Linked DNA regions of Notamacropus eugenii. The protein of the gene in region 4 interacts with the protein of the main gene of each other region in a pairwise test. Links are inferred from orthologs where the notes say so. Each region holds a gene or a part of one and is shown on either strand. Other genes may lie near its edges. The genes, in order: RDH12, SEMA4G, RBFOX1 and RBPMS.

Evidence for each region.
Region 1: the proteins of RBPMS (region 4) and RDH12 interact in binary tests that used the Homo sapiens proteins (3 or more experiments, as listed by UniProt). The two-hybrid records come from large-scale screens. The link is inferred for Notamacropus eugenii from reciprocal best matches to the Homo sapiens genes RBPMS and RDH12.
Region 2: the proteins of RBPMS (region 4) and SEMA4G interact in binary tests that used the Homo sapiens proteins (3 or more experiments, as listed by UniProt). The two-hybrid records come from large-scale screens. The link is inferred for Notamacropus eugenii from reciprocal best matches to the Homo sapiens genes RBPMS and SEMA4G.
Region 3: the proteins of RBPMS (region 4) and RBFOX1 interact in binary tests that used the Homo sapiens proteins (3 or more experiments, as listed by UniProt). The link is inferred for Notamacropus eugenii from reciprocal best matches to the Homo sapiens genes RBPMS and RBFOX1.

The regions. Positions count from the first base shown.
Region 1 is NC_092872.1:312,387,590-312,394,572, forward strand, and holds the start of RDH12 (retinol dehydrogenase 12), read right to left. Parts: upstream 3,014-6,983; 5' UTR 2,937-3,013; coding exon 2,869-2,936; intron 748-2,868; coding exon 629-747; intron 1-628. UniProt on the Homo sapiens protein: Retinoids dehydrogenase/reductase with a clear preference for NADP. Displays high activity towards 9-cis, 11-cis and all-trans-retinal. Shows very weak activity towards 13-cis-retinol.
Region 2 is NC_092872.1:178,944,673-178,951,937, forward strand, and holds the start of SEMA4G (semaphorin-4G), read left to right. Parts: upstream 1-4,264; 5' UTR 4,265-4,343; intron 4,344-4,457; exon of another isoform or gene 4,458-4,561; intron 4,562-4,748; exon of another isoform or gene 4,749-6,602; 5' UTR 6,603-6,728; intron 6,729-7,265. UniProt on the Homo sapiens protein: Cell surface receptor for PLXNB2. May play a role in axon guidance.
Region 3 is NC_092872.1:85,127,978-85,135,141, forward strand, and holds the start of RBFOX1 (RNA binding protein fox-1 homolog 1), read left to right. Parts: upstream 1-4,162; 5' UTR 4,163-4,250; coding exon 4,251-4,337; intron 4,338-7,164. UniProt on the Homo sapiens protein: RNA-binding protein that regulates alternative splicing events by binding to 5'-UGCAUGU-3' elements. Regulates alternative splicing of tissue-specific exons and of differentially spliced exons during erythropoiesis.
Region 4 is NC_092878.1:167,536,666-167,544,132, reverse strand, and holds the start of RBPMS (RNA-binding protein with multiple splicing), read left to right. Parts: upstream 1-4,461; 5' UTR 4,462-4,540; coding exon 4,541-4,636; intron 4,637-7,467.

The DNA.
Region 1 (6,983 bases), on a different chromosome or scaffold from region 4:
AGAGACTTTCAAGATCACCTAGATCAGAGATTCCCATTAAGTTGTCCCCAACCTTCATGAGTTTTCAACAATGTCTTTCAACAGAAAGAGGTGTCAAACTTAAATAGAAACTGGGGCCACTAAATTATACATAAGGATCCCTAAAAAACTCCTATTAACTTAGAAAACTATATGTTAACATTATCTATGCTCTCTTGCATTTTTATTTATTCTATTAAATATTTCCTAATTACATTTCCCAATTACAACCTCACTCATGGCCACAACGTAACTCAGGTCCCATGTTTGATACTTTTAGTCTATGATATTTGAGCAAAAAATTATTTAATGGTACCATAAAACAGTAAGCAATTGCAAAGAATGTTATTAATAGTATATTAAATTACCCTGGAGATTCATAACACTTTTTTTTTTAGTTGAAAGGGGCTTACAGAACAAAAAATGTTGAGAACCACTGAAATTAGTCCAACCCCTCTCTTACACATGAGGAAACTTATTAAACATGTTCTTGAACTTCTAGCCACATGCCTCCAAAACAAGAGCAATTAGCAGCAAAGATAGGTGAAATGGGAGGAAGTGGGGGACTGTAACAGGAAAAAAGACAAAAACTGGAAGGGTATGGACTTGCCTCTACGAGCAAGATCTTTGGCTGTCTCCTTTCCAATGCCTGTATTGGCTCCAGTGACCACAACTACCTTTCCAGGAAGCTGCACAGTTGATGTACAAACTCCACCAGCAAAGTATTTCCTACAGATACAAGAGAAAAGATTATTAAAACTCATTTTCTTTCCCAGAACCTATTTGACTTGCATAAGAAATAATTATAAATTTCTTACATGCTTTCTCTATGCAATCAGCATTACACACAGAACATGCTCCTTCACCTTATTTGACCTCTTAAGGTCAACAGATTACTTTTGGCTCAGGGAGGGCAATCTGTTAGAATTTCATGCTAGAAGGTGATGTATGCCTATGAACAAGGGATAATCATCTGGGCAAAGAGGATGAGAGCTTTGTTTGATCTGTATTTTTCCTTTGTTATTATTCGTTGGCTTATCTGAGGATCACTTGGAAGGATAAGGTACCAGACACTAAAGTCCTTGCTTGAGCTGAACTGTCAAGTATTCAAATGATGCTTCAGAGAGTGCAACTCAGATGGGCTGGCCATGTTGTTCGAATGCAAAATGTACACTTGCCAAAAAGATTATTTTATGGAGAACTCACATGAGGCAAGGGATCACATGGTGGCCAGAAGATGCGATACAAGGACACTCTTAACAGTCTCTCTCAAGAACTTTGGATTTGACTGTACAACATGGGAGACACTGGCACAGGACCGCTCAGCATGGCGTGCCCACATCAGAAAGGGTGTTGTGCTCTTTGAGCAAAGTAGAATTGAGACAGCACAAAGTAAACACAGGATGCGAAAATTTGGGATATCCAAACCAAATATTCACACGAACTATCTGTGCCCAACCTGTGGAGAGCATTCCAAGCTCATATTGGTCTGATCAGTCATGTCAGACACACTGAAATTTCACTTTATCATGGTGATGTCATTTTGGTCCCCTTCAAAGATGAAGTACAGCAACCATTCCTTTTGCTTATACTGATTGATATTTAAAATAAAATATTTTTAAACATTTTGTTTTAAAATTAAAAATTTTTTTTCAATTAAAAAATGTTTTTAAGCTAAATCAGAAGAAAGTTCCCTAACTAGAACAGAGACCATGAAAACTCAGAATCAAGTCCATGAGGTAGCAGAGGACATAGAGTCCCAGGAACTTGAGTTAGAAATGACTTTGAAGACACCTGGCCAGATCTATTGAGCAGGAATCCCTTCAGTAACATCACTGAAGTATTTATGATTTTCTGTAGGGTCCTTTAAAAGTAGGTTCAATACCCTATAAATAATATACATCATGCCAAGTATAATACACTTAACAAGTCTTAGCTGAATAAACTAATCTGCCCAGGACCACTGGAAAATTCTGAGCAATTCGATCAGTGGGTCAACCTTTGGCCACCCTCCATAGAAATACTCCACTCTGGTCACCTCTCCATTTCTCCACGGGTCTAGGAAGCCGGCCATCTGAGGTACAGTGCTGTTATTCTACTATAGTGGTAATGCTAATAACAAACACTTGCTAACTGACTGACTGAACTCTTGAGACCAGAGCTCCTCCCTATTGCCCATAGATGGTCACTCAAGATTAATGAAAGAGGAATATCAAGGCCCTAAAGGGATGCTTTGGCTTCAAAATGGGATATGGCTGTTCCTTCTCTTTAGATTTTTCAATTATTGACAATTCCCGGATTTTTCCTTTAGAACAAGCAGCCCTTGACATCTACAAAAGTCTAACCACAACAGAGAAATCACAAAACAGAATGAGAAACTAGATTTGTCAAGATATGGAACTTTAAAATGAAACAAGAGTTTATTCATTTTTTCATTTCTTTCCCAGAATTCCCCTAAGCATTCATTAATTAATCCCTTAACAATCATGTCATTCAACAGTGCCATCTGGATGAGGGATGCTTAGTAGACAGGCAGGCACGCATACATTAAGAGTAATCAATACAGTTAGAGTCCAACAGCAAGTCATTTACTAAGGTCATTCACTCTTCCTACCAGTTCCTAAAGGATTCAAAATCACCCATCCTCCACTTGCATGATGCACTTGGCAAATTGGCTTGACCTCCTTTCTCATCTTTCAGGGTGGTATCCATAATTACTACCTTCCTCTGGTTCCTACTCCCACTTTTTTTTCCCAGTCTGCTTCCATCACTTTTTCCTCTCTTAACAGAAGTGGTCCTTGATTCAGGAATAAGTCAAGACTTTTAGTGAACCAATGAATGAACACAGACCTGATGTAGGGAACTGCCACATACAGGAAGGAAAGGAAGGAGGTGAGCAGTCCCAAGATGCCTATCATGTTTCCAAGCTGCTGCTCCTGCTGCTGTAATGCTCACTACTCTCGGGTTCCTGCCCGTCTGCTTTCTCTGCTACTCCCAGCAGACTGGATCAGAGCCCGACTCGGAATCGGATTTAAATTTGTGAGCTGTGAGAGCATGGCCTGCTGGGAGATGTAGTCCAATTCTGAACTAAACCTTCAGGGGCGGGAACATAGGGAAACTGGAGAAACATCTTTGCAGCTCACTCATCCCATCACATTTATATCCCTAAGATATGACAGTTCCTTTTTTTTTATTCCTGGGTCTTGTATTGAAAGGCAACTTTTAAAAAAAACAATTACAAACAACTTCAACAATTGATTGATCACTAACATTTATACAGCACTTACTATGTGTCAGACACTGTGCTTAGCACTGTTATCTCAATTATTAACACATTTGATCCTCACAATAACCCTAGGAGATAGGAACTATTATTATCCCCATTTTGCAGATGAGGAAACTGAAGCAAACAGAGGTTAAGTGACTTGCCCACAGTCATATAGCTAGTAAGTGTTGGAGGCCAGATTTGAATTCAGATCTTCCTGCCTCCAGATCCAGTGCTCTATCCACTATATCATCTGATAAATAGATAAAACATTTATTAAGTCTTCACTTAATATGTTAATAATGTTCCAGGCATTGTGCTAATCAGTGGGAATAGAAATACAAGCAAAAATTGAGTCCCTCTCCTCAAGGAGCTTACACTCTAATGGGGGAAATGACATAGAAGGGGATGCTATTTGAAATACAGTAGAATGAAAACAGTGCTATATATACATTAATTCTTCTTTATAGAATCATAGAGCTGGAAGGGACCCTAGGGGCTTTCTGGTCCACCTAATCTCTGAACAGAAATCTCTCCTGCCCCATTTGAACAGTGACTGCTTTCATCTTCTGCTTGTTTTCCTAAGAGCATTTTGTGGGAAAAATCAGAAGAAAGGAGCAATGATAATATCTCATATTTTATAGCACCGTCCCTTCCATCTCTATGCCTAGACTTCGCTTCTTTGTCAACTCTGTCTTGGAGAAAGACCAAGTTCCTTCAAAGGTGGCCTCCTAGACAAGGTCTCCTTTGATCCCATGTTACTTTGTCTTTACTCATCTGTGTGAACACTGTTTCCCTTAATAGAATGTAAACATTTTAAAATAGTATTTTATCCTAATTACTTGTCAAGACTATTTTTAGCATTCATTTTTACATTTTGAGTTCAATTTTTGATATTGGTTATATCATGTAAAAATATATTTCCATGTGGGTCATAGTTATGAAAGAACAAACAGATCAAAAGGAAAAAAATATGAAAAAATAAAGCAATTGAAGAAAGGATGCTTCAATCTGTATTGAGTCCATCAGTCTTTTATCTGGATGTGAATAGCATTTTCCTTCATGAGTCCTCTGTACTTGTCTTATATCTTTGTATGACTAAGAAGAGCTGAGTCATTTATAGTTAATTATCACAAAATGTTGCTGATACTGTGTACAGTGTTTTCCTGATTCTGTTCATTTCACTTTGCCTCAGTTCTTACAAGCCTTTACAGGTTTCTCTGAAATCTGCCTGTTCATTATTCCTTCTTGCACAATAGTATGCCATTACATTCCTATAATATAGCTTATTCAACCATTCTTCAACTGATGGACATCCCTCACTTTCTAGTATTTTCCACCACAAAAAGGGCTACTATAAATATTTTTGCACATATAGGTACTTTTCCCTTTTTTATAGAATGTAAACTTTTTAAGGGCAGAAACGTTTGCATTTTGTATTTGTATCCAAAATATTTAGCATAGAGCCTGACATATAGCAGGCACTTAATGAATGATGAATGAATGAATGAATAACTCAAAAAAATAATACCACACAATTTAGACCTAGAAGGAACCTTTAGTTTCTAGCCCTTCATTTTATAGTTGAGGAAACTAAAGCATACAAGTACTCTATCATCATATTACCAATGAAGAAATTGGGGCTCTGACAGATTGACTTGCTCAAGGTCACACAGGTAGTCAATGGCAGAACTTGGTCTTGAATATGGGTCATCTGGCTCTTAGTACATTTTCCTAAAGAGTACATTTTTCCTCCATACCACACCAGCTGATGTTGACATTTCCTTTTTGGGGTGTTACAGAGAAAGAGGGAAGCAAAAAAAAAAAAAAAAAAAGCTAACAAACTCCTTGTCAGGCAAGAGAAATAACATTTTTAGAGTTGCTAGCCCACTCTGAGTCTGTCTTTTCCAACCAGAAATGGAAGCGGTAGGTGAAGTGGAAAAAAAAAGTATTAAATAGGTGAAGGAGCCAGTAAGAATGCAGTGGAAACAGGAAGAAGAGAAGGGAGGATGAGCACAGGGTCAGAGGTACCAAAGGTCAGAGGGGCCCTTACAGCAGTTCTGCTGTGCCCCAGAAAATCTAAGACAGTCATAAGGAACTAAAGGGATGAGGAAGGAGGTAGCTGTCACTCTGGGTGAAGTGACGTCCCCATACTAAAATCTACAGTGGCTTCTGATTGTTTTTTATATTGAATCTCATCTCCTCTGATCATGATTCAGTGGAACATGCTTGACCTAGGGACAGGAAAGTCCAAGAGAAACACATTCCAGTATCATGGGGCAATAGGTGAAAGGGATATAAAACATCTCAGTCATCTAGTGTTTAGGTTGTGTGGTAAGGGCCTAAAGTGGAAACACAGAAATAACTTGACAAAATAGTTATTAAACATGATCTTCATAACCCAAAGTAGGTTTTGTAGAATAGGTTTTGTAGAATTCCTTTCTTCAAATGAAAAAATAAAATATCAAAAGGCAAATGTTTCTCAACCCAGTATTGGGATACTGTCATGTTAGTATTGCAACATAAGGAAGATAATAATTAATACTTTCATCATTACCAAAAGGCATGTGCCTACTTACTCATAGTGCTGTACTAGACTCTAAAAACCCCTGACCAAATCCTATCCCCCGCAACAGCTTACAATAAAAGCCAGACAGCACTAAGGCAAAGGGCAAGAATGATTTCCCATTGTTCCACCAACCTCTCCCCCAACCCTATCTCTACAATCCAAACAAACTAGCCTACCTTATATATACCCTGTTGCCACAGGGCCAACAAATCAATCCTTTCCATGATGTTTGGTTTCTGTTATCTTATAATCTCTATTCACAATTTCTCGTTACTTAGAATTTTCGTAACTTCTGACTAGTGTTTCTGGATATTGCTTGATGGAGGATACATACACCCACACCCATATATATAGAATATATATGTATATATAAATGCATGTATATGTATATGCACATATACATACGTAAATATAAGTGATATTCACAATGAAATTGATAAGTAGAAGCATTTTCTCCTTAATATTAGAATCCTGTAGAAATCCTCCTCCCTCATTCCTTTCTAGGTCCATTTCATATACAAAATCCAATGGAAAAACTATAACTTCTTAAAACAAGGACTCCTGTTGGGGGACAGCTCTGGACCGGGGTCCCCCGTGAGGACCGTGAGACACCTGAGGGTCCGAACCTGCCCCCTTGTGGGGTACTGGGATGGCCCTGGTAACAGGCTGGCTCCACCCACAGGGAGGCACTTGGGAGGAGCTCACCTGCCCATGGGAGGTACGGGGGAGGAGACAGGGGATAATAAAAGGGGATGACCACAAGAGCTAGAGGAGAAGAAACGCAATAAAGCTTGCTGACTGCAACTCCTTTCGGGTGCTCTGCCTGTGTATTGCCCTCCCCCAACCGGGAGAGGGACCGGAGACGTCCAAAGACCGGGGATAGGTAAGTAGAAGGCGAAGGCCTGGGAGTCGCCCCGGGCATCTGGCGCCCTGAACAGGGACCGCCGTAGGGAGAGGAGAATCCACCTTGCCCCGCAGTAGTAGCCTTGCTCCGCTACTGCGGGAAGATTCAGGCAGCCTCAGTATTGAGAAGTGGCCTTGCCTCGCTACTGCGGGAAGATTCAGGCAGTCTTAATATTGGGAAGTGGCCAGGATGGGTCAGGGAAATAGTTTTCCCAGTTTAAAGCCCAA
Region 2 (7,265 bases), on a different chromosome or scaffold from region 4:
CTTTTTACTTTGTTCTTTTTCCCCCTTCCTCCCCTCCCTGCCAGAAGGCTACATTAAGTGCAGATATATTTATATAGAGATATATTGATACACATATATAGACATGCTTTCCCTAAGAAATTCTACTTCTGCCCATTAATCAAAATACCCTTTATATCCCCCCCACTATTCCATCACCCTCCCCTCTAGAGATCCCTGTCTTATCTTCTTCCCCCTCCCTTATCCCCTTGGCATTTTCTTTCTGAATTTTATGTGTGTGTGTGTTGTTCCCCCTTGAACTTATTCCTTATAAAAGTAGGTTTCCAGAACTAACACTTCTTCTCCTCAATCTAATTTCTATGTCGGTTCTTCCTCCTCCATTTGTATAAAATAATTTTTCTTTTTATAGCAGTTCCTAAATGGTTTTACTTTTTAAAGACATGTCAGACTCAGGTCTACCCCAGTCTTTCTTATGAATTACCCAATAGCTAAGAACAATCTTAGACATAACGTTTTACATTTTATATACATAAAAGGTAAACAGTCTGTCCTTAACGAGTCCCTTATAATTAGTCTTTTGTCTGTACTTATATGTCAGATTTATTAAGTTCAATTTTTTTTAAAGTCCTGAAAGTCTGACAGTCCATTAAATCCATTTTTTTTTTCCCATTCAAGATTATGCTTAATTAGCTTTACTGGGCATGATATATTCTGCCAGAACCCCAGTTCTTTTGCTCTTCAATATGTAGTGTTTCAAGACCTGTGGTTTTTATGTGTCACTGCTGCTAGGTCTTGTGTGATTCTAATTGTGATACTGCCATATTAATATTTTTTTCCCTTGTTGCTTGTAATATTTTATCCATGAGCTGGGAGTTTCAGAATTTGACTGTAACATTCCTATGAGTTTTCCTCATAGGATCTCTTTCAGGTGGTGATTGGTGGATTTTTTCTATTTCTACTTTCCCCTTTTGTTCTAATGCTTCAGGACAGTTTTCTCTAATTTCTTGTATCATTGTATCTAGATTTGTTTGTTTTTTAATCATAGCTTTCAGGTAGTCCTTTTATTCTTACATTTCCTCTTCTTGATCTGTTCTAAAGATTAGTTGTTTTTCTTATGAGAAGTTTCACATTCTCTTCTATTTTTTCATTTTCTATATTTTGTTTGAATACTTCTTGATCTCTTTTAACTTCACTGGCTTCCCCTTTCCCAATTCTGATTTTCAAGGAGTCATTTTCTTCCTGAAGATTTGGGATCTCCTTTTCCAGTTGATTGACTTTCTTTTCATAGTCTCTGTGTTTTTCTTGGGTTGCTTTTTCTGTTTGTTTTTCCTCAGTCTCGTTTGATTTTTAAAGTCTTTTTAAAGTGAATTCTTTTTGATCAGGTGACCATTTGACGTTCTTCTTTGGCATTTGAGTCTGTTTCTATATTTGTAAAGTGGGAACAATGCTTCCACTTCCTACCGTACAGGCTTATTGTGGGAAAGGCCCTTGAACAGTTTATATGGTACTATAGAAATGTGAAGTATTTTCTCTGTTTTACAGGTGAGGAGACAAGCTCAAAGGAATTAACTGATTTCATATGGACAATTAGGACTAGAACCCAACCTTTCTGACTCCTAAGCTAGCGTTTTTCCTAGGACCACAAAGTACTTCTCCTCTGAAAGACTGAGACAATAAGGATTCAAAGGTTCTGGTAAAGAAATAACCCGAGGAAGTTAGCAGCAATCAAGGGAAGCTTTCTGGAGGAAGTTGTTTTTAATAACCTGTTTTCTTTCCCTGTAGGATAAAGCTTGGCTTTGCAATCAGATCCATTAATAGGCCTTATTTTCCCCTAAAAAGTCAAATTTTCTTCAGTGAGTATCATGCAGTGAAACTGCAGATTTTCCTAAATTTTTAAAAAAGGTTAAAGATAAGAAGAAAGGAAACAAACATTTATTAACTACCACACTGCCAAGCACTGTGCTAAGCAGACTACAAGTATTATGTCATTTGATTCTCACAACAACCCTGTCAGGTAGGTTTTACAGTTAAAAATGAGAGAGGTTAAATGACTTGGCTACAGTCACACAGCTAAGTATCCAAGGCTGGGTCAAAAGAGAGACTAGAATAAATGGGGGGCAGGATAGGAGGGAGGGAAATGTAGTTAGTCTTACACAATGTGACTATTATGGAAGTCTTTAGCAAAACTACACTTATACAGCCTATATTGAACTGCTTGCCTTCTCAGTGGGGATGGGTGGGGAGGGAGGAAGGGAGAGAAGTTGGAATTCAAAGGATTAGGAATGATTGTTGAGAATTGTTTTTGCATACAACTGGGAAATAAGAAATACAGGTAATGGGGTATAGAAATCTATCTTGCCCTACAAGAAAAGAGAGAAGATGGGGATGAGGGAAGGGAGAGGTGTGATAGAAGGGAGGGCTCATTGAGGGAAGGGGTAATCTGAAGGCAAGGTGTTATGGGGTGGGGGGAGGGGAGAGACGGGGAAAAAATCTGGAACTCAAAATTTTGTGTAAATGAATATCGAAAACCAAAAATAAATAAACATTAAAAATAGAAACAAAGTGTCCGAGGCTGGCTTTGAACTCTGGTCTTCCTGACTCCAAGCCCATTGCTCTAGCCACTGCTCCCTGATAAAGTGAAGACCTGGGTTTCGTTGCCAAAGCCTGATTCCACCCGCTCTTCAGCAGTCTCCTAGCAAGCAGCTCCAGCTCACAGGTGAGCAGGTCAGTTTAACTCGTATTCCCCTGGGCTTACCCCTTGTGGCAGGTCCTTCAGCATCACTGCTAGAATGACCTACCTTAAACACAATTTTCATCTGGAATCTCCCGATTTCCCTTTTTCCTAATACCACCAAATCTGAATTTCTGAGTCTGGGTTTGAGGTAATTGTCATTGCAGTGAGAAGAGCCCAAGATTTCGAGGTGGGACCTGCGCTCAAATATGGCTGTGCCACCTACAACGAATCACTTCTGGTGATGCCGTCTTTTAGACCGATTAGAACCGTCCCCGACCTGGCCCCCCCCTTCTGTCCAGAGTTTATTCTTTCACTTCCTGTTTCCTCAGCCCTCTCCATTTCCTCATGCCCAATCCCAGTCCTTCTCCCTCCTACTGTCCCTCCACCTGAATGTCCGTCCTGTCCGCTTTTAGCAATCTGCAGGTTTAGCAGCATTCCCTTTCTGTGTCTGGGAGCGGACGGTCCACATCCTCCGCCCCACCCCCATACACAACGACACCAAGCTGGGAACGGTGGGGGTGGTGTATTGGGCAATGGTTTTTAAAGGCATAGTTCAGTGACTACGTGGGAGAGTTTTTTCTACAGTAAGTCTTCCAAGGGAAGGGGAGGCTGGCTGGCTTAGAGCTACAGAGGAACTCGTGAACCTGGAAGAGAGGACAGCGGGAATGTGACCTGCAGTGTCCGAGGGGTTGTCCTTGGAAAGAGGCTCGAAGGCCTTTGTGCCCCTTGGCCCGAAGGTCGAACTGAGCGAGGGAGCGGAGCTGGGAGAGGCGGATTCAGCGTTGGGCAGAGGAAGGGCTTCGGAGCCATCCAGTACCCCCCGAAGGCTGGGCCTGCCCCGTCAGCTTTGGGGGGAGGAGGTGGTTCTGAGCCATTTTGTGACAATCAGGACTAGCACCGAATAGCGGGGGGCTCTGTGCCTGAGCAGTGGAAGCAGTCTCCTCCCCTCGTGGACGGAGGTAGACCTGGGTGGGAGGCTCCGGAGGAAGGCGGCAAAGCCCAGCATTGTCCCCACTAGACCAGGCCTCCCGAGGAGTGGTCAGGGGTCAGACTCCACCTAGGCCAAGCCCGGCGGGGGTGGGGCCGTCGTAAGCCATTCAGTTCCCTCCCTTACGGGATCGGGTTAGTGAGGGTCCGGCCTCCCCCGGGCCTCCGTTTCTCCCTTACGACCAAATGGGAACCTCTAAGCCAGAGTGCAGGGGGCAGTGCGGGCCGCTAGGGGGCGCAGCTCCGATGCGGAGATTCCGAGGTCCCTGGAGACCCCGGGAGAGAAGAACCTACGCGGCTCCTGTCTGTGCTCCGTGAACCAACGGCCGAAGGTTCCCGCCCGCCGGGCACTCCTCGGCGCAGACTGCGGCCCCGCCACGAGGCGGCGAAAGCTTAGGCGGCCGCCGGGGCCCACGCTTTTTCCCGCGCCGCGCGACGTGGGCACGGCTCGAAGCCCGTCCGACCCGGTGACCCGGCCCGGAGCCGGCGCAGGAGAAGCCCGGGCTCCCTGGGAGGCCCACCGCCCACGAGGTGCAGTCCAACAGGTGCCTGCAGCGTCCGGCTGGGGCGGGGGGCGTGGCCCGAGCCGCGACTCTGACCCCTGGGTCGCGGGAGGCAAGGTCGGGCTTCCGGCGAAACGAAGGTAGTCGGCTCTCTCCCAGCCCCGCCCCCCCGGCCCCTCACCCCGGCTCCGGCCCCGCCCCTCACCCGGCCCCGCCCCTCCCGCCCCTCATCCCGCCCCCGCCCCACCGGCGCCGCTCCGGCCCCGCCCCCGCCCGGCCCCGCCCCCTCCGGGCCAGGGTTGTGCAGCTGGAGCCGTAGTGTCCGTGTCGCTGTGGACCCGGATTTAGGACCCGCAAGGTGGGTGGGGGCGGGGGTGTCGACCCTCCCTCCTGCGACCTCCGGGGTCGGGCCTGGGGGCGGCGGCGGGCCTCCTTCGGCTTGGATGCCTCGGCTCGGCCCGGAGCCGAGGCCGCAGGTGCACGGGCTGGAGCGGGCTGGGGACTGCGGTGGGAGGCGGGAGCGGAGCGAGGCCGTGGCAGGTGTGGGGACGGAGAGGCCGGGCTGGGGTCCCTCCCGCTGCAGCCCGCCCGCTGGGATCGGAAGGGATGGGGGTCTGCGGGCTGCAGCCCTGCGTGGCGTGGGCACCGGGAGGGCCCCGTGGGCTAGGTGGGGTCTTCCCCGAGATCGGTGTTAAGCCCAGGCCCCAGAGGACGTCCTCCAGCTGCCGCGGGAGGAATTGAGCCCCAGGGGGGCGGGGGGGGCTAGGGCTCTCCTTGGACCCGGGGATGGGCTCCGGAGGTGCAGTCAGCCCCCCGTGGGCACTTTCTCCCAACGCCCTGGAGGAAGGGATGCTGACATCTTCCCACCTGGGCCCGAGAGGACTGGAAGGCAGGACTGCTTCGGGGGAGCTCAGACCCCAGACTTGGAAGGCCCCAGGCAACTGGGACCTCCCCTGGTGGGAGAGGTGTGTCGTGGGGTGAGGGGCAACCGCTGCCGGGCAGTGCTGCTTCGCAGGCCCAGGACTGGCCCTTCCTCGGAAGGTAGAGGGGCCCTCTGGGAGAGACAGCCTGTTCTCCGGATTCCAAAGAACGTTTTTAGGACAGTATGGCTCTGGAGGATTTGGGGACTTTTGGTCCCAACCCAGCAGCCCTGCCAGGGGAAGGAAGCTGAGCCTTTGTAAATGAGCCCCATTCTCATCCCGACCTTACTGTTCTGAATCATCCTTATCCCCTTTCCCCTCTTCATGGAAGATTGAGCCCGCCCAGCCCAGAACTTAGCCCTTTCTTCACTGTTTGTATTATCTGTGGGTATTTACAAACACATCTTGTTCATGCCAGTGTACTCATATACACGTGTGTGTTTGTGTATAGGTATGTGTCTGTGTGTGCACATATGTATCTAGGTCAAAGCTGCCCATATCCAATGGTACTAAGCTGACCGTGTACCCTCCCTCAGCAAACAATCACACCTCTCCAGATCTTCCACCCTTCCCAACCTTTGCCCTTTAATTAAACTCCATTGGTCCCCCCACATGACATGATCTGTTTCACCACTTCCCTATGGCTATTCTGGCAACTTCTCCTGCTCCTCCAAAGCAGGCTGGTTAATGTTTTACTGAGGAACAGACCGAAGCCTGTGGGGATGGATGGTGTTGAGTTTATCCCTGTTGGCTGTGATTCCAGGCATTATCCTTGGGCTCTGCCCCCAGTTCTTCCCAGGTCTTCATCTGGGAACCTCCCACTCCTCCATCAAAGAGGAATAGAGGCCCTAAGGCTGCTCTTTGTGTAGAGACAGGTAGGTGGTGCAGTGGGTGGAGTGCTGCTGGACCTGGAAGCAGGAATGGACTTCAGATATGACCTCAGACACTTACTAGCAGTGTGACTGGACAAGTCACTTTATCTTTATGTCTCAGTTTCCCCAACCGTAAAAGGGGGATAATAATAGCACCATGAGCTTATGCTTATAGAGCCCACCCTGGTGGGAAGGAGGGGTGAGAAGTATCATTAGATGGTCCTGGCCTTCTCCTTTCCCGTAGGAGTCCCAAGTAGATCAGAGACCAGCTGGCCCTCTTGCCCTACCCCAGGGGATCTTAGCCCCCAACCAGTAGTATACCCTTAATTTAGGCTCCCTGTGAAGACTCCAGTGTGCATGGGCATACATAGACAGAAATAATCCATACATGGAAAGACACATACAATTCAGCCAGGGACTGTAGTAGAGAAGAAAGGGTACTGAATGTAGAGTTTACAGGACCCAGAGCAAGTCACTAAGCTTCTCTGATCCTCAGTTACCTAAAATAATGGTGCTTGAGTAATGTCCTTCACAGAATAAGGAAAGGGATTTGGGCAAAACGCTCCCTACATTCTCCTTTGACTCCTGTCTCCATGCATTTGTTCAGGCTATCCCCATACCTGGAGTAGACTCCATCCTCAACTCTTTGTGTTAAAGTTCTCCCTTGGCTTCATGGCTCATGTCAGGTGCTGCCTTCTCCATGAAGCCTTCCCTGAATCCCCTCATCCCCCAGGTAAGATCTCTCCAGTTTCTGCACTTCCCCTTTGCACCTGTCTTTCTCTCTTAGATTGTTGGCAGACTGTCAGTTTCTTGAGAGCAAATTCTGAGTCTCATCTCTTTATTTCCATTGTATTAGACACCAGAGCGCCTTGCACAGAGTGAATGTCTAAAATATGCCTGATGAGTTGAATGTTAACTATTATTAATAGTGATAATGAATATTTTCTGAGTATTTGGTCCATGGAGGAAACCATACACATCCTGCTCTTGGGGGGGGGGGGGGGCAAACAGCCTAAGATGTTGGGGGCAAGGGTAAAAGAAGACATGTGTATAGATAGCACAGCATCAAGTGATCAGTGCCAGGGGAAAGCCTGGCAGAAGTTCTGAGGATTCATAGGAAGAAGTCTGAAGATCAAGGAAGGAACATCTACAGATTTACAGAGATGTAGATACATATTACTGTGCAAAGAGATGTATGAATATATACAAGTAGGTGTGTGGCAGCACATTCAGTGTGAATAGGCACCTTTGGTTCTTTGTGCATATTTGG
Region 3 (7,164 bases), on a different chromosome or scaffold from region 4:
TAGGTATGAAGTGGGAGGGTTGTTTCTCCATTGTCATGTGGGCTGTCTTTAATCAAATAATATGACTGGAAGATGCTCAGATAACTCTCTATTGTGATTATAGTCAGTTCTTAATTATTCTGGTACAATTAACTTCCCTGTATATTACCCATAGCATAATATATTGGAAAGCTGCAAATAATTGACTATATTGATTCTATATATTTCAGCCCAGACTGGAAAAGGAATATTCTAGTTCACATAGTCTGGTAAACAAAGATTATCAGTTTTCTCTGGGTTTCAATAAAATGAAATATTTAATGCCATATTTATTAAACAATCCTCTGCATAAATTATTTTTTGATTGGTCAGGAGGAACGTTAGGAATTTTCATTACCTTCAGGTCATCATTACAGATATCAGTTACCATCCTTCTGTACAAGTGGGAACATTCTGTTTAAGAGAAAGTTTTGGTTAATGGGATGCTGTAAGATACAGTTTTTTGTGAGGCTTTGAAAAATTATACTTTATTTTGGATTTTCTGTGGTGATACCCTTTCACAAGTGCTAGTCAATGAGAATTGTAAACTAAATGCACCCAAATGTAATTCTTGGAGTACACGCACATATACATATGTATGTGTGTATATATACATACATGTGTGTATATATGTGTGTATGTGTGCACACACATAATTTTGCTAAATATTCACAGCTATAATCAGAGTGCCTTACCCCTCACCCTTACCCTGTTCTTTAGTTTTTGTGTTCTGCTCTCTTCTCTTCCAAGCTGACATTTAGTCTTTGGGCGTCTGTCACCCAGAAGGAATGGGGGTGGATAGTGTCATCATTTACAATCCCAAATTCTGCATGTTTTTCTTTGGGGGGGGTATTCTGAGCCACAGAAAAGGGGGTGGAGAAAAGAGGGGCAGGGGGAAGATTTGATTAAACTAAGAAGACGTGACAGAAGGGAATCAAAGAGTCGACAACTGAGAAGGGAGTTTGATCATGGATTGAGAGAGAGAAAAGATGAGAAGAGGATTATTTTAGGGAAAGGAAGCTAAAAAAAATCAAAGAAGTTATAAGAAAAATTTTACTTGAAGGAAATCCCTAAAAAACTGCATAAGGATACATCAAATGATACAAAGGAAGTAACATGAAAGGAGAGAATACAGATAGAAAGCAAAGTAAAAAACAAAAAGAATGTAAATTAGCCATTTGATTGAAGACTGGCTTCAAAACTTTGGATAAAATGGATATTTTGTTATTCTCAGAGTGGATAATGATACAGAATACATTCTTTGGAAATATAGTTTCAGATTCTTAGTGGAAAAGGTAGCGAATGTGTTTCTCTAGTGATTATCAGATCCTTCCACCACCACTCCCATCTCCATCACAGGCAGATTATGGAGATAGGAAGTATCTCTGGAAAAGTAAAGGTTGTCCTAAATTTGTGTTCAGAATGTTACCCTGCAGTCCCAGAGTTAAGTAAGCATCCATTCAAAAGGTCCCTTCTCCTTAATCTTAGACTTATCTCATTAAAAGAAATAGATTTTTTGAGTAATTATCCTTAATTGCAACCTACCCGACCTTGAAGTTATATCATATACTTGGACAGTTTGAAAATATCTTGAAACATGAGAGAATACACTTACTACAATAGGTATTGGTTTCCACAATACAGGTAGTACTACGTAGTAGAGGGAGCACAAAATTGGACTCAGGAAAAATTAGATTCAAATCCTACCTCAGGTGCTAACTAGTTGGGTAACTGAGAGGAGTCACCTAACTTCTCTAAACATCAATTTCATCTGTAAAATGGGGATAATAATAATAGAGATGGTACCTGTGCCTTTTAGGGTTCTTGTGAGACTCAAACGAGATAATGTGTTAACAAAAAAAATAAGTGGTATAGCACTTATCGAAGCTGTCTCCCAGGTCTTAGTGCAGTCATAAGCTAATAGCTTAAGATCACACTGAGATTTTGGGTGCATCCCGTCTTAATATCAGATATTACTGTTTATATTTTTTGAAAGTGAGGGTAAAACTCTAGTTTAGAAACAAAGTTTTGTGAAAACCTTTCAAATGCGGTGCACTTTATACATTTTATTCCTTGTGACTGTCAATTTTATATGCTCTTGGAAGGGGAATAAGGGAGTGTGGCATCCCATACCAATGAGTTGATTAGTATCAGGACTTTGTGGTGAGTAAACTCCCTTCCCTAATGGAGAGCATCAGCAGTTCTATGACTTTGAGCCTTAGAGAATTTTCTGAGGCCCAGAGAGATAAAGTCACTTACCCATGATTACAGGCTTATAGTTATCATACAGGACTTGAACCCAGGTCTTCTAAGCTAGTTCTCTATCTACAATGCCATGTTACCTATCAGTAAAGATAATACCTTATGATAACATGAACATATATCTCTTCAGGGTTCTTCAAAAGATTTCCTCATATATGATCTTATTAACTCACAAAAAACCTATTACTAGGTAAGTAATATTACCCCCTTTATTATGTACTTGAAAGAACAGACTCAAAGGAAGGGAAATAATTTGTTCAGGATTGCATGTTTAAGTGCTGAATATTGGATTAGAACCCTGGTTTCATGACTTGCCAGGAACTGTTTTCACCACTCAGCGATAAAGTGACATAATATGAACTGATTAATACCATCTAACAGAAAGTAATAATCTCCTCCTGTCCCTATCCAAGAGTGAAGCTGTCTATAAATGGAAGCCAGGAATAGGTAAACATGGCTATATCCCATGGTGACTTTTCTGTCCTCACTGGTAACTTCTTAGAAATGCCATGTTGGGAGTCACAGCTCCAAATCTAAAGTTAGAAACCATATCGGACTGTTAAGTAAGAGGGGTCAGCTTACAGCTGCTAACCGGAGCTCGTTTGATACATGAGCGTCAATTGTAGAAAAGCTTTCAGTGTGGCCAAAACTCAAGTTTTAAATGGAAATCTGTGCCAAATATTGTCCACTATAGTTACCTAGACAAGTAATTATGCTGCTAAATCAAGGATCTAAAATTAGTATAGAATAAAGACACCTTGACTCTCTCAAAGCACAGGAATTCGTGCCTGGATTCATGAGAAGGCAACAGTGGAATGTAATTTAAGGTACTTTTCTTTAACTTGCCCAGTTTCAGCATATTTCAGTCATCTTTTCTCTTTATAGTTAGAGTTGGAATGTATTCAGCAGGTGTTATTGAAAGATTTATTTTAAGTTCTTCTTGACCTTGAATATCACCTAAGTGGACACAGCACATTGGACCTTCATATAATTGCCTGCTAAAAAGTGAAAAAATCTGAATATAGCAACCTGCCCTCCTGGTAGACAAAACCAGAGGATCAAAAAGCACAGCTGCTATCTGTGCCTTTCAGAATTGTGAATACAGAGCAGCGTCTACACTGTGCTGAACATCTGGTTGAAAACTGGGGGGAAAATGCTGTCAATCTTCATCTGCCTGTTTACAAATAGGTTAAAGTTAGAAGGTCCAGATTTGTACCTGAGGTTTTCAGATTGCACCCAGATTTTTGATGCTATATTGACCCTGATTTATATGTCAGAATCTGACAGTATCTTTCATCAAGAAATGCGACAGAATTGGAGGTTCAAGTTTAACAATTAGAAAGTCTTTTTACCTCTAAACTCATTTCAATGAACATACGATAACACTGGTCAAATTACCCCTCTAAAGCCTATCCCAATCAATCAGCTTTCCATGTTTTCTCTGTCTCTCAAAAAAATCAGCATTCATAAATGCACAAGGCTCTATGTATTAACAAGGTGATTCAAGTTTAAACATCAACCTCTATTTTCTTTCTCACTTTTTATTTTCTGTGTATCTTCCCAAAACCCTACGTGGAATCAGCCATCTACCATTTGGCAGAATTCATTTTGGAGTATCTTAAACCTTGTTGCTTTCTTCCTCTCATTTTTTTTTTTTTTTTTTGCAAAGCTAAATTAACAAAGAGTACTTGGTTAGTCATGTTAGACAAGCTGTTCCCAAAATAGCACCTTCCATTTTGGTATCTCCAGCTTTGCAGCTGCTGTCTCTCTCCGTTGTCTGGGAAGAAAACTTTAACATTAAGAGTTGCTGATGTAGATTTTTTTCCCCTCCGAGTTGACGAGGGGTTGGGCCCTGACAGAAGTTATTTGGCTGTAAGCTTTGTAGTTTGGAAGAACTTGGTCTATAGATTTTCGCCTAACTTTCAATTGATGTGTTTAGCTTCAGTGGAAGAAATACAATCACTTAAACCATGTTGTCGTCTCAAGGAGTTTTGCTACATCCCTACGGCGTGCCCATGATTGTGCCCGCGGCACCGTACTTCACGGGACTTGTTCAGGTAATTCAAGGCCGCTTCCAACAAGCAACTTAACTCTGGTGCACTTAGAGTAATAATTGGAATTTTTATGGTTGAGAAAGCAAACACTTTTAATACAGGAAAAAGCCCTCATGTAGTCAGTGAGAAGACAGTAGGAAATCAAAAAGATGGATCACCCTAATCTGTGTATTGACATCTTTCATGGCTGAATAAATGGTGTAGTTGAGCTATATTTGCTTGTATTGATCTGCCTGCTGCTTAACATTCATGCCTTTGCTTCAAGAGGTTGACCACAGGGCAAAGGATTTGCTCTCCGTTTCAGCTTTCTGAGGGACTCAGCATTCCCAGTGCAGATCATGAGGCAAAGTAACTTACCATGATGTGGTTCAGTTAAGTGCTTTAGCCCAGCAAAAATGAGTAACATTAAATATGCATTAATTCATATGTTCGACTTCACATGGAATGTCTGTTTTAATAGAATTTTTTTTGTAAAATGGAATAATACATTGATGGTTAATTTATGAAGTTTAGAGATCATTATAGGAACCCCCACAATCAGCCCTTTGAGTTTTTAAGGATGGCAAGGAATCGGTGACTTGAAACATGCTTGGTTTTTGAGGAATTAACTAGCAGTTAATTCCATCACAGTGCTCAGAATAGACTGTCTGCTAGCATTGTACGTCAGATAATTCTTCCAAAGGTTTTCAAGGGACTTAGATTTTGTTTAGATAAAGATTGGCCTTCACTGTGAGAATTGTGCAAGCTGCTGTTTTTGGTCTATTGTGTACTGGTCAGAACACTGACACCTGTGTTCTCATTCTGGCTCTCCTCTTATATGGCTGTGTGATCTTGGGCAAGTCACTCGTATGTAAAATGAGAGAGTTGAGTGAAATGATTTCTAATATCCCTTCCTTATTTTCAAGTTTAATGATTCTACACATCCAGGTACTCAGTTGTAAGGTACATTTTTGTAAACTTTGTCATATGGTTATTGTCCAGTACTGTCTTTCTAACATTTTCTGGTTATTATCCAGCAGGTACTTTTCCTACACCTGCCTTTAATCTAAAACAGACCCTTCTCTATTATACTTTGTTAGACATTATGAATAAAATGTCTAATTGTTATTCATAGCAAACAAGCAACAAAAAAGATTTCCCTCCCCCTCACCCACATGCCCCAGACCTGTAGTTTGGGAGTGAGTGAAGTGAATAAAGTCCAGCCCAGCTCATTAGAGTTGAACTAAAAAATGTCTTCAGCACAGACTGTTGGGCAGACACATTATTTTTTCCCCCAACCTTCATTGTAACCCGTTGTTTATTACAAAAGGCTGGCTAGAATATCAAACCTGGGGTGATTCCAAACAGCCGAACAGCTCAATAATTCTAGATTGCTGGCTGGCGCCTTCACTGGAGAGTTTACTCGATATTAGCCACATGTGTATGAAGTAGAAATAAATTGATCTACCTGAGATTGGCCATTATCAATACTGAAATCTTTGTGTTTCTTGGTCCAAACAAGCACGGGCCACTGGTCCTCCTGTGGTATACGAGGGCAGGACTAGAAGCTTATAGGCAACTACTCTTATTTCCATTTTAGATTTTGGGTGAAGGTCAGGACCAGGAGCTCTGTCAGACCCTCTGCTATCCTGTCCAATAAATAATTACAAGCAAATCGTGCCTTTCACTCTATGCTGATTGATGCTGAAATTGCTTTTGAAAGTTCTCATAAGTTCCTGTTATAGATTAAGTGCCGGTGTAGGAAAAATAACTGCACCCAACTGAAATGGGTGAATGTAATCAGGTTTAATGGACTCGGGAGCTTGTTGGGAATTAAATAACTATTGATTTGTTGGAATGTTGCTGTCATTACAAAATGCCACTCTGGACACATTACCCAGGTGATAGATTAGAAGACACAAGAGCTCTTTGAAAAATTTGGGAGATCTGGTTTTATTCGTTAGGTACACCATCTCAGCCAGCATATTTGTGGAGTGTGGTAAATTGCTGTGAGGAAGCAGGAGTGGGCTGTTGCTACCATTTGCAAACTGTGACATTAGTGTGTATTTCCATCTAAGAATTCAGGTTTGGAAAATGTCTTTTTAATACTTCATTAAGGTCATGATTTCATCAGGATAGATGGTGCCCTCTCCACCTAGGAAGATCATGGCTCACCTGAGCATTAGATTTTGGTTTCCTAGGTTGCTTTGTCCAGAGCAACTCATCCCATGGCATCTAAAGTTTTATTAATGAGCTTTTCTGAATTTGCTAACATCAGTCTTCTGATGACAGACAGTTAGGTGATTGCTGAGAACCTTTTCAGCCAGGCAGAAGTGGACAAATCTCTATCACCATAGCCTGAAAGATCCTGCGTGTAGCTTCATGACTCAATCAGGCATCCTGCTAGCACTTCAGTGGAGGCACATTTGCTATCCCTGCCCCCAAATTTGAGAGCACTATGACAGTGACACAGAAAAAAGACTATTGCATTTGGAGTCAGAAGATCTGGTTTAAAATCATAGTTTGGACTTTTCCTTTATGGTCTTGGGCAAGTCATTTACCCTTTCTGGGTCTCAGTTTCCTTACATGTAAAATTAAGGGGTTGTAGTAGATGAAATCAAAAGTCCCTTCTTATTCTAACTGCATGATAATTTGTAAATTCCTGGTCCAGAACCTGTCTCTTTCCATTCCACACCCTGAATGGTCAGAGACTTAGACTGGCTATCTTTCTTTCTGGTACACTGAGCCAAAAACATGATATTAAAATGTTTGCATTAGAATGACAATTGCATTAGAATCACCTGTAGCAGCGTACTGGAGAAAAAAAATTATATCAGTGAATATTACCATC
Region 4 (7,467 bases):
TGTTACCCTCAGAGCTGGCCTTCTTGTCAAGGGCTTCCTTCTGAACTCCTTCCCTTCCCAGCTGTGCATTATGAAAGCTGCCTCAATGACCCTCTTTTAGTCCTTGAGGGGGTCATATTTGTCCCCTCCCTCCAGAATCATCACCCAGGAAAAAGGTAAAAAACATCTTCCTTGTTAAGCAGTCAAGCAGAAGAGAGCTGTATGTGGGCCCGGGCCCTAAAATGTAGGTCTCCGTTTGCACCCCCTTCTGTCAGCAGCGGGGTGACCTGCTCCATCATTGGCTTCTGGATCTGGGGCCTCTTTGTGGTCATTGTGGAAAGTGTTCAACCTTTCTGACTTTGCCAGGAGCTAGAAACAGCAGGTGGGACCGCCCCTATTCCCCTATTCTTTGGGGGGGAGGCAATTGTTTCTCTTTCTTCCTCTGTCTCTCTCCCCTTCTCTCTGTCTTTCTCTCCTCCCTTCTTTCTCTTCTTTTCTCCCTCTTGCCCCCTTCTCTCTCCCTTCTCTCTCCTCTCTGTCCCTGTCTCTGCCTCTCTGTCTCTCTATCTGTCTCTCTGTCTCTCTCTGTCTCTCTGTCTCTCTCCCTCTCTCTGTCTCTCTCCATCTCTCTGTCTCTGTCTCTGTCTCTGTCTCTGTCTCTCTCTCCCTCTCTCCCTCCCTCCCTTTCTCCCTCCCATAAAACTCAATTTCTAAAAATCCCCAAACCCTTCCTTGGAACAAATAGATGTAGTTGAGGCGAAGCCTCCAGGTGTTGCCTTTGCGTGACAGCTTATGCCTTGTTCCACACCTGTTCTCCGCCACCTCTGCCGAAGGAGAGGTGGTCCATCTGCCGAGGTCACAACGGGAAGTGGCTTCAGTCTGAGGACTGAAGTCAGTCTCCACGCCTTTCTGGGTCTTCCCCACCTCTTGACACCCTCCTCCCCCATGCACCTCTCAATTATTTCCTGTCCAACCCAGCGTATATTCCGTTCCATCCATACCCAATGTTCTGTTCAGCCCTTCCCTTCCTCAAAGGACCTTCCCTTCTAGCTTTTTGCTCCCCCGGAAAAGGGCTTCTTTAGGAAGGGTTCGGGCACAGAGGGGACCTTCTCCTCTTGTCTTTGAGCCTCCTTTGGAAAGTGTCGATGTTGAAGGATCTCTCTCTCCATCTTGGGGTATCTTCGATGGCTTTCCCTGTGCCCGCAATGCCCTCCCTCATCTCTGCTCCATCCCCTGTGCCCGCAATGCCCTCCCTCATCTCTGCTCCATCCCCTGTGCCTGGAATGCCCTCCCTCTTGGTCCCCACCTCCTGTCTTCCCTGAAGTCTGTATGAAATCCCTCCATCAAGTAGCCTCTCTCAGTCTTTCTTAATCTTTGAGCTTTCTGCCTGAGAACGCAGTTGTTTGTGTCTGCATCTTGTTTGTATTCAAAGAGATGGCCCCTGTAATAACACACCAACAACCTTGTTTGTACAGGGCGGGGACCGACTTTGGCCTTTCTCTGGATCCCCAGCAGCTAACACAGCACCTGCACATAGTAAGCGCTTATGAAACGCTTGTTGACGCAGGAAGGCGTTTCTGATAACAAATGCCCCTTGGCCCCCATATTGGAGAGGGAAGGGTTAGTCTTCAAGGGGCCAAGTGGGCTGCTCTTGGTTTACCGGAGAGGAAACAGAGGCCCAGGGAGAGGCTAGGCACTGGCAATGCTGGCAGTCAGACCCAGCTTCCAAAATCTTAGGAATGTCAGACGGGAAAGAGCCCTTGGTGGCTCTTGGCTCTCGAGGCCCAGAGATCCCGGCCCTGACGCCCTCTCTTTCTCCTCCTCCAGACATTTCGAGGGCTTTTGTTTTGGCTAGGTTGGGGGCCGTGCTGTACTGTGGGTTATGAGTTTAGATAAAACCCCAGTTCTGGCCCAGACGTCGGGTCCTTTGGATGTTTTCTAAATCTCTGGCTATTTACCTGGCTTTGTAAGTCCTTCCCATCAGCAGCATGGGTGCCAATCTTTTTGTGGTATGTCCTTCACTCCCACTCGCTTCCCCCTGCAGTGACTCCAGTGTATACTTTGGCTCAGCCTTTGTTCCATTGCCATCTTCCCCCTTTTCCTCTTTCTTCCCAGCTCTCCATTGTCTCAGCCTTGCCATCTTCTAGACCATTTGACTGCCGTACGAGGTTCCGATCACTTGTGGGGCTCTCGATGTTGGGTGATACAGATGTTGCTGCCACGTACGTCTTTAGCATTCCATGTCATTTTCCAGTTATGCCAAATCAGCTTGCCACTCTCTGCCTCAGTTTCCTCATCTGCAGAATAAGTATAACGATAGACCTTACTACTCTTTAGGAGAGGAGTGTTAAAAAAGCTTTTCTAAAGTGGTGGGCCTTGGGAAGCCCCTGCTTTTGGCGGTCCTACAGCCAGGAAATCTCCTCCCAGCAAAGTTGGTTGATTTCTATGTGATACTACTTAGAAAAATCAATGATGAGCCTTCAGAAGTTGTTGGGGGGGGGGGGGAGGTTCCGAGGTGTAGTTAATGGCCGGAAATGACCCTGGGGAGAGGACAAAAGGACTCCTTCATCCTCCTTCTGAATACCTGATTCCTTTGTGTTGGATGAGACCATATGCAGATAACCCCCAGCCTGGATGAAAGTAAGTCCCTGCCCCCCTTAGGCTTTTGGAGGGGGAGAAAGGGGAAGGGGAAGGGGCTGGGCTTCTCTCCCTCACTCACTCCTCTGTGGGTGCAGGTCCTCAGTTGGTCTGTGGCCTCCCTGGCTCTGTTGGTGCTGCTCTCACACCTATTAAGGGCACAGAGATCCTCAACCACAAGATTGAAGCTATGGGATGTAATCAGCTGTCAGCAGCCAGGCTCCTGAATGTCCTTCTGCTGAGATTTCTAGTGTCCTATGTCTGGCCTGATGAGGGCAACACTTTGGATTGTTCTTGTAGACGGTCACACAGACAGACCCAGTTTGGTCATTTTCCTGTGCTCTGTTGGCATCCATTGCCCTACATCTCTATGTAGCTGGGCTGAGTGGTGGGTTTTCTTTTTTTAATTTTCTGGCTAAATAACACATTTTTTCAACCTAATCAGAGCCCTTTCCAATCTAGGAAACTGAGGGCCACAGAATGGATGACCTTCCTAGCCTAGTGTCTGGACGTAGTAGGTGCTTAATTAATGCTTCTGGGATTGGATTAGGGATAATTGAGGAAAGAACCTGAGCAATGGTCTCATTCTGCCGATAGAATGGAACCCTTGAGAGCAGAGCCCATTTTTCTGTTTCAAAGTCCCAGGGGGCCGTGAACTTCCCAGGTAAGGGCTTGTGGCCAGTAGCTTTTTGTTTTCCCAGCCTGACAGGAAGCATGGGAGAGTGGGACCCTTTGGCACACAGCAGGTCCCAGCAGACTTCGGGGACCTTGGGGTGGCCTGAGCACCTGCCTCTGGATTAGGATGGCTGAGGAGTTTTGGCTGCGGCATTGCTTTCTCTCTACCTCAGTTTCCTCATCTGTAAAATGGGAGTCATAATAGCATCTCCCTCTCCAGGTTGTTGGAAGAACCATATGAGACATGTAAAGTACTTTGCAAACAAATGCTAGCTGTTATTTTTGGTGGCGGCAGGGTAGAAAAAAAGAAGGGAAAAAGGAAATTTGCCCAATAATTTTGCTGTATGTTCGAAACGAATAGCAATGGGTTTAGTTGACTTATAGTTTCACGTACAATTGTCTTTTTATTGTACTGTGTTATGGACATGCTTATTGTATTCCATAAATATGTATTAATGTAAGATTCACTCAATATTTCTTCTCCCTCTACCCACCCCCCAGTCATCCTACATATTTTTTTGGAAAAAGGCAAAAAACCCCCAAAACCCTGAAAACAAATAAAACAGATGATCAGGCCGTTGAAAAGTCTGAACGATCTTTGGCGTGCCCACCTCTGCAAATCCATAGGAAGGCTGTGCCTTCTCCAGTGCGGTCTCTGGGGCCAGCCTTGCTCTTTGTCTTTGAATGTTAGCTGTCAGTATTACTGTACACTTTCTTCTCCGTTGTTCCCCTCCAGCCCGTCTTTTGAAGGTGAAGCTGGGAGAGAGAGAGGAAGTGACTTGCTTAGGGTCACATAGCTGGTAAGTAGGTGCTGAGGCCCAATTCCTGTCCAGGTCTCCTGACGCCAAGTTAAGTTTCTCCCTCTACATGAGGTTTCCTGGACTTCTTTCTTTCTTAGCGTTTGCTCCCATTTACTCCCACAAAGCCTTGCTGGTTGACCGCTGTGAACCTCTCCTTTTCTAAGGAAGCCAGGCCTATCCGTAGGAACAGCAATCTCCTCTCTGATAATTAGAAACCCAACCTTATTGGTGGAGAGTGTCTTTGGGGGATGACTGGTAACAATGGAGAAAACGTACTTAGGTCAAATATAGAAACAGAAGTCACTCACTAACTCCCTATTTTTAGATTTCATGTATATAAAAGCAGAATAGAGGCTGACCATATATTTTATTTTGTTTTTAAGGAAGTTGAGCTGATGGGTTGAGGGTGGGGCCTGGGAGAGAGGCTACTGAGCCATGGAATTCCAGGGATGACTCTCAGAAGCCCTAGCCCAGGGCTTGGAGGATCTGGGAGTCACTCAGCAAAGGAGAAACTGACTTTGGATGTTCAAGATTCCAAGGCTTGGGTAAGGAATGGCTCTCATTGAAAATGCCTGCGTCTGTCAGAATGGCCTCCAGAGAAGGTTGTCGCTCAACCCTGGTTTTGTTGATGTTGTGTTAGGGATTCTAATCCTGTTAGGATGTCTGCTCCTAAAAAGGCCCCAAAGTTAAAGGCAAAGAAACGGGTGAAAATGTGTTGTTCGGGACCCCAGGAGGCTGCCATTTTGTCAGCTTGGGATCTCTGTGCCTTCCTCACCCTCTGGCAGTCAGAGTCTGTCTAGAAAGGCCCCAGTGGGCTCAGTCTATGGACTTACTCTAAGAAATTGAAATTTGACAAGACATCAGGCCTTAAACTTGTTTTTAAAAAATTCATTTCTTGAGTTTAAAATAGGGGAGTCATGGCCAGGCGGCTGTTATTCAGAAAAAAGATCTCCGTGTTTGGATGGACTGACTACAAGTTCAGCATGGGCTGCAGCTGGGGTGAGCATTTCCTCCACATTTTACCTCAGCTTTCCTGGGACAGCCGTTAAAAGTGTAGGAATGTGGCTCCTGAATGTGGAGTGGAGAAATGGAGTGATTGGGCCCAGGCAGCACAGTGGCCCACTTCAGACAATTGGACAAGCACTGAACCCCACCCCCTTCAGTTTTCTTATCTTTAAAATGGGTATAGTAATAGAGTAGCCAACCTCACAGTCTTCAAGCATCAGATGAGAGAGAGAGAGAGAGAGAGTGTGTAAGGTGCTTTGCACGCTTTAAAATGCTGTTCTGCCTGCTGGTTCTAAGGTTATTCCAGAGGGCCCAGGGGCCACTGTCTGGAGTTGAACCCAAGGGTCCTCCTGTCTGCTGAGGGAGGATAGGAATCTCCCCTCTAAGCTGGGAGGCCTGGTGGGAATTTCTCCAGGTTCTGAAGTGTTGCCTGAGGTTCGTTGGGAGGCAGAATTGTCCTTCCCCAAAGGCTGAAGCCTGAAAATGTCTGTGTTTTCCCCTCGTGCCCTGGCCTGATCAGACTTTGGCTCTGCCCTTTCCCTGATGACCTGTCTCCTGCCACTGGGTTTTCTGAAAATTTCTGCAAAGCAGGGAGGGGCAGAACTGGCATTTAAGCGCCCAACTACTATGTGCCCAGCACTATGCTAAGTGCTTTAAAATATCTCATTTGATTATCAGGACAGCTCTTCCAGGTAGTGGCTATTACCCCCATTTTACAGTTAAGGAAACTGAGGCAGTCAGCAGTTACATGACATGCCTAGGATCACTTAGCTAGTGAATGTCTGAGGCCGATTTGAACTCAGATCGTCCTGACTCCAGACCCAATCCTCCAGCTTCAAGCTGACCCCGTGGAAGGAAGGCCAGCATCTTGGATGCTGAAAAGGGCCTAGGAGGCAAGCAAATACAGCCTACACCTGGGCTAGACTCTCCTCTGAGCCTCCTGGGGTCATCCAGTCTTTCCTTTAGGCTCTACTGCAGCTAGGTGGTGCAGTGGATAGAGCACCAGTGCAGGAGTCAGGAGGACCTGAGTTCAAATTTCACCTCAGACACTCGACACTCACTAGCTGTGTGACCTTGGGCAAGTCACTTAACCCCAACTGCCTCATCCTGGGTCATCTCTAGTCATCCTGATGAATATCTGGTCACTGGATTCAGATGGCTCTGGAGGAGAAGTGAAGCTGATGACCTGCTCAGCCCTCCCTCACTCAAAACAAAGTCAAGTGCAAGTCATGTCATCATGTCTCTGATGGCATGGTCTTCTTCGGCAACGAAGGACAAACACACGCTGCCCAGGCAGTGAGAAGAGGAGTCATTTAGATAGGTGTGCTGTAATCATCCCCATTTTATAGCTGAGGAAACTGAAGAAAACAGGGTTAAAGGACTTGCCCAGGATCTCACAGCTAGTGTCTGAAGCTGGATTTGAATTCTGGTTTTCCTGACTCCAGGCATGGTTCTCTAAATGCTGCACTACCTAGCTGCTCTAGTATCCTGTACAGGGAACAGGAGATGGGCCCATCTGGCTGCAGTTCATTATGGAGTGAGCTTGAAGAGAAGGGAGTAGAGGGAAAAATCAGTCTGGTGAGAAAGGCTGACTAAACTATCATTCGTGGACATAACTGCTGGGACAACTTTTTTTTAAAGTGCTTGTGAGTGGGGGTGAGTAGTGATGCCTGGGTGGTGAGTGGGGGACGGAGAAACCTGCACGTTGGGAGGTCTTGTGAACATTCCAGAGCTCTCAGACGACTGGTACATGCAGTTCTGCGGCTCCAGGTTTTTCTGAACAGGGAGGAGGTGGGGAGAGGAGAGGAAGGAGGGGGCAGTGAGCAGCGATCTCCCATCATGCACCTTCTCCCCTCCCAGCTTCTCCAAGACATTTTACAGCAGGTGCTAGCAAAGACTGCAGCGACTTGACCTGGGCTGGAGATTAGAGATGGGATTTGAACTCAGAGAACCTGAGATCAAATCTGAGTTTTGACGTTTACTATCTGTGTGACTTCCGACAATTCCCTTAATCTCTCATCTGTAGAACCAAGGGGTTGGTTGGGATGGGCCAGCTGAGAACTGTGTGGTCTCATGGCCCCCCCTCCCAAAGAGCTTCGGTTTATGTGGGTTATATTTACTGATGCTTCTTGTATTTGAAATTAAAATGCCTTATCATTATTATAAATAAGTTTGATGTAGAAGAATCTTGGGGACCCCCCCAGACTCCACTTTGAGAATCGCTAGCCTCAGTCATCTCTAAGACCCCCTCTCCCTCTCAGTCTTGGATCCTTTCATCTCTCTGCGCCTTGGATACTTTCACTACTCACGTCTTAGAACGTTGTAAGAATCCCAACTGCTCTTAGGAATACCCCACATCGGAATTAGCCAA